Linked DNA regions of Drosophila melanogaster. The gene in region 2 interacts genetically with the main gene of each other region. Each region holds a gene or a part of one and is shown on either strand. Other genes may lie near its edges.

Evidence for each region. A genetic interaction does not mean that the proteins touch.
Region 1: of wupA (region 2) and fwe, changing one suppresses a phenotype caused by changing the other (phenotypic suppression), as found in Drosophila melanogaster (one study listed by BioGRID).

Annotation. Positions count from the first base shown.
Region 1 is NT_037436.4:15,814,327-15,818,083, reverse strand, and holds the start of fwe (flower), read left to right. Parts: upstream 1-1,673; 5' UTR 1,674-1,807; coding exon 1,808-1,810; intron 1,811-2,027; coding exon 2,028-2,148; intron 2,149-3,757. Other genes in the region: CkIIalpha-i1 (CKII-alpha subunit interactor-1), read right to left, coding at 1-852, 911-1,036. UniProt on the Drosophila melanogaster protein: Transmembrane protein which mediates synaptic endocytosis, fitness-based cell culling, neuronal culling, morphogen gradient scaling, and calcium transport. Regulates synaptic endocytosis and hence couples exo- with endocytosis.
Region 2 is NC_004354.4:18,115,159-18,118,915, forward strand, and holds the start of wupA (wings up A), read right to left. Parts: upstream 1,668-3,757; 5' UTR 1,549-1,667; intron 1-1,548. UniProt on the Drosophila melanogaster protein: Troponin I is the ATPase inhibitory subunit of troponin in the thin filament regulatory complex. Involved in the development and maintenance of muscle and nervous system. May also be involved in the cytoskeletal apparatus.

The DNA.
Region 1 (3,757 bases), on a different chromosome or scaffold from region 2:
TCCAGAAAAGAGGCCGTGGGAACTCATGTGCGACATTAAGCGCGCCCACACTCGATAACTTGAGGTGCAGTCCTTATATGGGCACTCATAAAATCGCTGCTGCGTGAATTTGACTTTATGGCTCCTCGTGTGCCTCCTGTAGGATCCTTGGTTAGCGAAGGACATGTTGCACTCCACGCAGATGAAATCGGATACATTGTGAACGCTGTTCTCGTGGCGGATAACGTCGAAATAGCGTGGGAATATCTGGTTGCATCTGAGGCACAGAAATTCCAAATCCTTTGCGCCGCACATGGTCTTGTTGTGTTTCATCGTCTTCATGTGCTCATGTAGTTCGTGTAGTTTGTGGAACTCTGAACCACAATCGCGGCAATAGTAGACCGGATTCGGGCGGGGTTTACAAGAATGCATGCGTATGTGGGTCAGGATTTCGAGCACATGGCCGCAACAGGTGCACAGCATCCGAGTGGCTTGGGTCTTGTCCTTGAAGAACTTGGTGACTGCCAAGCCATCGCGTGACAATCCCACGCTGAAGAAATCCACGGACGCGGTTTTCAAAGATTCTTCGACTACGATCTCCATATGCTCGTTTTTTTCCAATGGATCTTCCTTCACTGGCTCCGCGATATGCTGATCGAAAGAATTCTCCTCATCATTCTTTTCCGTTTCTACCTCTTCTTTGTTTGATGTCACCTCCAACTTGATCTGAAATGCAGTGGAGTCGTCTATTTCGATGGGCCTCCGGTGAAACTCGTCCTGGGCCGTGCCCCACTTCTCCAGGGATTCGCTTATGCGCAAAGTCTCTCCAAAGCAGGGCTCGCAAATGCAGTAATTTTCCCCCAGGATAGCAGCCTAAAATACGTGGGTTTCTTTGCATTTGACATCCATTGGACTCACTTTCAGAACTTACATCAATTTTGTACCAATCGAAAAGTCTTTGCAGCAGTTTATTGGCCGATTTGAATTTGGGCTTCTCGAGATCGATCTCAATTGCTCGGTTATCCTTGCATAGTTTGCAAATTTCCGCTTCTGTCATTTTGCTGATATTTTCGAGGAGGTCCAAAAACCAAGTTAATAAAAGGCAAGTAATCAATGATTTCTTCGATGTCTGCTAATCGATACTATCGATAGATGTTTAATTTATCGATACAATGCAGAGCTGCTTAATGTCGATAGGCAATTGAATTAATCGATTTTTAATTTACGGACTTAGAAATTTATGCAAATCTAAAAATAAATTAATTTTGATTGATTTGAATAGAGATAGTTGTTCAGATTTAGGAGTTAGGTGAACGATCTGAGATCGAAGTGAATTTTCTAAAGATGCCGCCTGCATATTGAACGGTATAAAAGCTTTCAATGTACACAAATTTGCCTAACATTTGCTAAGAGAACCGGAAAATATTGTTTAATATCATAATCGAACAAAAACCAATTTACAAGTTTAGACTGTAGTTTTTTCATTACCTAAAAAAGTATTTGTGTAATTATTTGAATGTTCGAAACCCAAAACAAGAAAATACAAATAATTATGAAAAAAGTAAGAAGTTGACTAATTGCAATATAAATTTAAAAATTAAAAAATGTTGTAGTGAATCCAGGATACCAGGAAACTAGTTCCATTCGCCTCCGATAACTTCCGAGTATCGATAGGCTCTATCGGCCATCAGAATCGCGATCTAGTTCGGTTCGCGTGCAGCAGAACGCAAAGTACAACAGGATTTTTTTCGTTCCGTGTGACGTGAAAAGTGCAAATAGTAATTGTTCGAATTAGTTTAAGCCTAGCTAACTAACTAAATAAATAGCCATGGTAGGTAGTTGTTGATTGACTGAGATAAAATGCTGACGCAGTGAGCGGTGTCAGTGTGTATGCATGTGAGCCGCGCGTTAACTGGTGTGTGTGTTTTTGTCGTGGCAATGTGTGCGTGTTAAAAAAAGCGGCCGCCGCGTCACAATACAAAATTGTGCTTCGATTTTTCCTAATTGCATTTCGATTTCTCCCTATTTCCGTCTATTTCCCGGATCAGTCGTTTGCGGAAAAGATAACGGGTCTGCTGGCACGGCCGAATCAACAAGATCCAATTGGACCGGAGCAGCCGTGGTATCTCAAATATGGAAGTCGATTGCTGGGCATTGTGGCCGCCTTCTGTAAGTTGTAGGATATATAATAAATTATCTACTAGCTTAACACATTAAAAAGTTGGGAAAAACATCCGTGACATTGGGCGGCCCAAAAATATGTTGCATCGATTTTTGTGTACCACCCTTTGTTGTTGTTGCTGTTATCTATTCGTAGGTGTAGGTGTGCAGTTGTGTTCGTGTGTGTACGCACGCTCTCTGACATTGATAAAGGAAAAACAAGAGAGGGTGAGTGAGAGGTGAGAGGCAGTGAGAGCGGAGAAAGGAAACATGGAAAAGACAACACAAAAAGGATACACAAATTCACACACTGAAAAAAATACTAGTTATGTATGTAGCTAAAGTTTATTTTTACATCAAAATCAAAGAAATGTAGGGTAAAGTGTGAGATTTCCAAATGAATTAAGAATGAAACGTATAATTTTAAGGTAAAACAAAGTCCAAAAAAGGTTTTTTTTTGTTTTGTTATTGAAATATAAAATAATACATTCACCCACTTAACTAAGTGGGCTTCCTGCACTTAATATCTCTTATCTAACCATTTCGTTTGATAACTTTTTATTTCGTGTGTAGGAAATTGCAAGTATGTATAGGAGCTTTTCTGTGTCAAGTTTGGCGCTCTGCTTTTTCTTTCCGCATCGAATGTAATTCTCTGTGCCCATTCAATCGAAATTCGCACTGCCTTTTGTTGTATCAGCAGCTTCCCTCTTTCCATCTCTATTTTTAACTTTGTTTTACCCGTTTGCGTATTTGCTTTTTTATCTGGACTCAGTTAACCTTAACCCTTAGGCTGCCACACGTGTTATAAGTGCAATATCGTAATAAGTCTATGCGTATCTTAAATTCAATTGGGGCATCTTTTTTGTAATTTCATCATCACCTTCTGAATGCATAAAAAAATGCAGTTCAATAAACTTTTAAGTAGTCGTGATCTACTTTGATTAAGTCCAAGTCAATCTTTTTAATCGCAGTTGGGGTTTTGATTATGCTATTGGGTTTCGTGTCGTTAGAATACTTACAAAAATTATTTTAAAAATCAATCTAAACCATACATATGTATATAAATGAAAATTCCACAGAAACAATATGCCTCATTGACATATTATTCCTGGAATTTTTAGAGATCAACCAAAGGAATATTTATTTATTCAAAACGTTTTTAACATCTTTTTTTTCTCTGTACAAAAGCATCTTTTGTTGTTGGATATTCTGGCAATGATTCTCACTTAGTGAAATGCAGAAATTGCCCAACAAATGAACACCATCCACTTAAAATCAATATAAATAGCTGAATACCTCAATTAAGGGATCACAACTCACTCGTCCGGCTTCCACAATGAACCGGTTTTGTTTGCGTAAAATAAAACCAAAGTCTATGATTAATAAATAATTTTATAAGCCGTTCCGTGGAGCACAACGACTTCTTCCCCAGGTTGGGTCAGTTTGCCTGGCTTTAAGAACCGCAATAACCTCAAAACCCAGATCCGATTTCGCAAAAGGAAAAACCTAACTTGCGAAGCTAAATATTAAAAGTGGCCTAAATCGTGAAATCTTTTTTATTTTATTATTCATGTATTTAGAATTTTAGAATTCAACCTTTCCTCGTGATCTTTTGCTG
Region 2 (3,757 bases):
TTTTGTTAATGGAAACTTTCCTACGATATGTTTTCGTTTTAATCAAGCTAAAAGTTAAATCGTTAGTATAGAAGTAACTTTTACATATGCATACTTGATCAGATGATTGATCGTTGTAATGGCATTTTAAAAATACATTTTATGCTGAATAACATATTGGGAATCTTTAAGTAAACATTATGAGATTTCATCATACGAAAAACCATGTCTACATCTTGAGGAATTAATCAGAATTTATTTGCTAGCCTATCCGTATAGTATGTATATGTATACATTTTTACTGAAATGAAGTCGAAGAATTAACACCTCACAAAGTACATATATAACTTTAAAAAGTCTACTAGCGTTGAAAGTAATCGTTAAACAAATTATCTATGCTGTTAGCAATGAACTAAAATAATGTACAATGAGTCAAAAGGAGATCCGTTATAGATTTTATATCCTTTGGAAGAAGTTGTATATTTTGGGGTTTTCACACCTACAAAGCCATATGGCTTAGTAGAACGAATTGCTAGGGAGCTAGGCGTATATTTAGCCCCAGCAATTTGCGCACCTTAGCGAAGGTAAGGCGTGAAAATTTTCTGACAATGACGACCTTCGGCTATGTACACTGCGAGAAATGCACAACGAATTTAAGCATAGTCGATGTCTCCACTCGGCATACATCTGAGAATGAGAGCGAGTGGGATGGCATCTACTGTATCTAGTATCTGACTGATTTAAAAATAAACCTGTTGATAGATACACGAATCTCGGATGCGAGAAATATGGCAGCTATTTATGATTTGCCGTACAATTTGTTTATATGTTCACGGAAAAAAAATAGTCAAATTGGAGCAACGATATTCGTATCGAATATGAAATCCAAAAGTTCGGAGAGCATTTATCCAGTTATTTTACGTAGGCGACGTGTGCGTGTTGTTTCTCTGTGTGTGAGTGTATGATTTTCTGTGTGTGCGTGTGTGTGTGTGATTTTTCTCTCTCTCGGGATCTCTTGTTCTCGCTGTGGTCTATTTTCAGGCACTTTTCGAGCGATTTTAGCTTTTTTGAAATGTATCTTGTATCTGCGGGATACATTTTTAGCTTTCGGCACGCACACACACGCATACACGCACACACACACGGCAACTTCTTACGTAATTGGCAAGCCAATCCGTGAAAAAAAATTCATTGCAAAATCAAGTCAAAATAATGTTGAAAAGTATTTCGATGCAGTTTTAGACACTTGTTAACTTGTATCACTTGAAAAAAAATAGCAAAAAAATTGTTTGAAAAAAAATGTTTGAATCCTCTGGGCACACGCACACGATTTTGGTCAGGTCCAGACATACATATAAATATAAATATATATATATATATGTATAGCATATGAGAAAGGACTGAGGATTTCACATTTGTTTTTCTTTGCATTAGCATTAGCATTTGCATTTTGCATTTTGCAGTTTTCTGTTTTTCCATTCCGCTTGTTCTTGCATTGTTGCTCGTTGTCAATGTTGATGGTGATGTTTTTCTTGGCTTTTTGAATGTTGCTCCGCTTCAAGCACTCACCTTCAAGGAATTAGAAAAAAAAGAAAAAAAATTCGGCTATGCTGTCGATCACACGAATCGGATGATACTGAACGACACAAAAAGACTGAACGGTCCGACGATCCACGGCAGACTATATTCTAGCGGCTAGCCACCCAACGGATACAGATACGGATCGTTGTTGATCGGATCGCATCGTATCGCATCGTCTCGTTCGGCTCGGTTCCGTTATGTTCCGAAAGCCAAACGTTAGCCGCCCACCTGCCCACCGTCCTTCACGAACGGGCGAGAGCGAGAGAGAGCGAGAGTGGCTCGGGGGCCGGGGTTATGTATCTGGGCGTGAGATCCAAAAATAGATCCCACCAAAACTGACATGGCAGAGCACAGCCCATAAGCAAAATCGAAATGGATACCGAAAAGTGTTCGGCTCACGATCGTCGCAGCCGAGTGGCATGCCGAATCGATTCCGAATCCGAATCCGATTGCGATTGCGATTGCGATTGCGATCCCGATCCCGTAACTCCCGCCCCGTCGGAACTGCAGACCCGTAAACCACCCTATGAAAAATACCGCTTGGAGAATCTTTGTATCTCTGTATCCGCATCGGTGTTCACAATATCGTATCTGCAGTTCGATGTGTGTGCTGGTGTAAACGGAGCCGCTTGGAATTCAATGCAATGGATAAAAATAGGTTTTGTTGCTCCAGTTGGGAGGCTATGCGATGGCGGTGCAATCGGTGTGCAATGAAAAAATCAGGGCCGGCGACTGGCTGCAATCTCTGGTTTCGCCAGCCCTGGTTAAAAAACTATAAAATATTATGCTAATTCTGGAAAATCCAGGGAATAAGCTTGTGCTGGGATATGCATATATTGAATATATATTCATTTTCAATGTAATCTACTTCAACAGCAAATACTAATGAAACTAAACATTATCTTAAAATAGGTGCATGCAGCGTTATTTTAAAGATTAGATTTATAACTCCTATCGAACATTTATCCTCATAAACATAACTAATATTTCGATGAGTTGACTGAATACAAATTACTGTTTTCTTTAGAAGACTGCAGTTTTTAAGAAAAATAGGTTAATAACCCTTACATACATATATTGCTGAAAATATATTAGATAAAATTGGGGAATCCCATAGATTCTTAACTTATTTAATTTGAAGATTATTACTATTTAATCCATCCAATATCATTTCCAGGTCTTAAAGTAATTATTCCGTTTGTGTTCATTTAAAAGGTTTTTCTTAGACCGTGCCACTTTGGACTTGATCTAGAAAAACCATTTTAACGATCTGTTTCATGTTGTTCGGCTATTTATCTTGCATGTTGGCCGCTGACATAACTTTAAGCTTTCGAATAATGTGTTCCAAGCGAATCGTACGAACATATAGCCTATATCCGTCTTGTTAATATCAATGTTTTAGCTGAATTACTTTGGCATCGTCAGTCTAAATATAATGTATATACGCAATATGGCCAAATACACACATACACATATATATATATATATATATATGTATATATATATAAATTTCTATATATAATGGTAAACGGTGCGAATGACGCTGCAACACACCTACTGAAAATCACGCATACGCCCCGTAGACGAAACGCCTTGCAACTTTGGTTGAAAGTAATTTTCGAATTTCGCCAAGAACGAAAGACGAATAAAACGTTTCGATCACGAAACCATGTCTATATATATATATATATATCGTATATGAATTTAGATATACATAGACTGTCTATACGTATGTTCCGATTCTATAAACTTTCAGCAGGGAGAGCAACAACAAAATATTGTTGAAAATAATGTTGCTTTTCCCTGCTCATCTCGTTGTTCTTGGCATTTTGTGTTTCTGTTTGTGTTGCTTGTTTTTGATTTTGCCACGGCTTGTTCTAGCTCTATTTCGAAATGTATTTTCGATGATTTCTATTTTGTTTTTCCCCATTTAAATTTAGAATATGGCTTCCAGGGGGGAAATCGAAAAAACGGCGACTGCGGAAGGGCAGTGGGTTAGCTTGGGGCAAAATGTTTTCGTTATTCGTAGGGAACTTGATCAGTTCGTCTATGTCTGGACGAATCTATTTTCGCCTTCATTCTCGTTCCGAGCGTTTTTAAACAATTCCGCTGCGCGCCCAAGCAATTTTTGCCTTAATTTATGAATTTCGAAAATGTTTTTCGTTTGAAAAAACACTTTTAATATTGTGCCTTATTT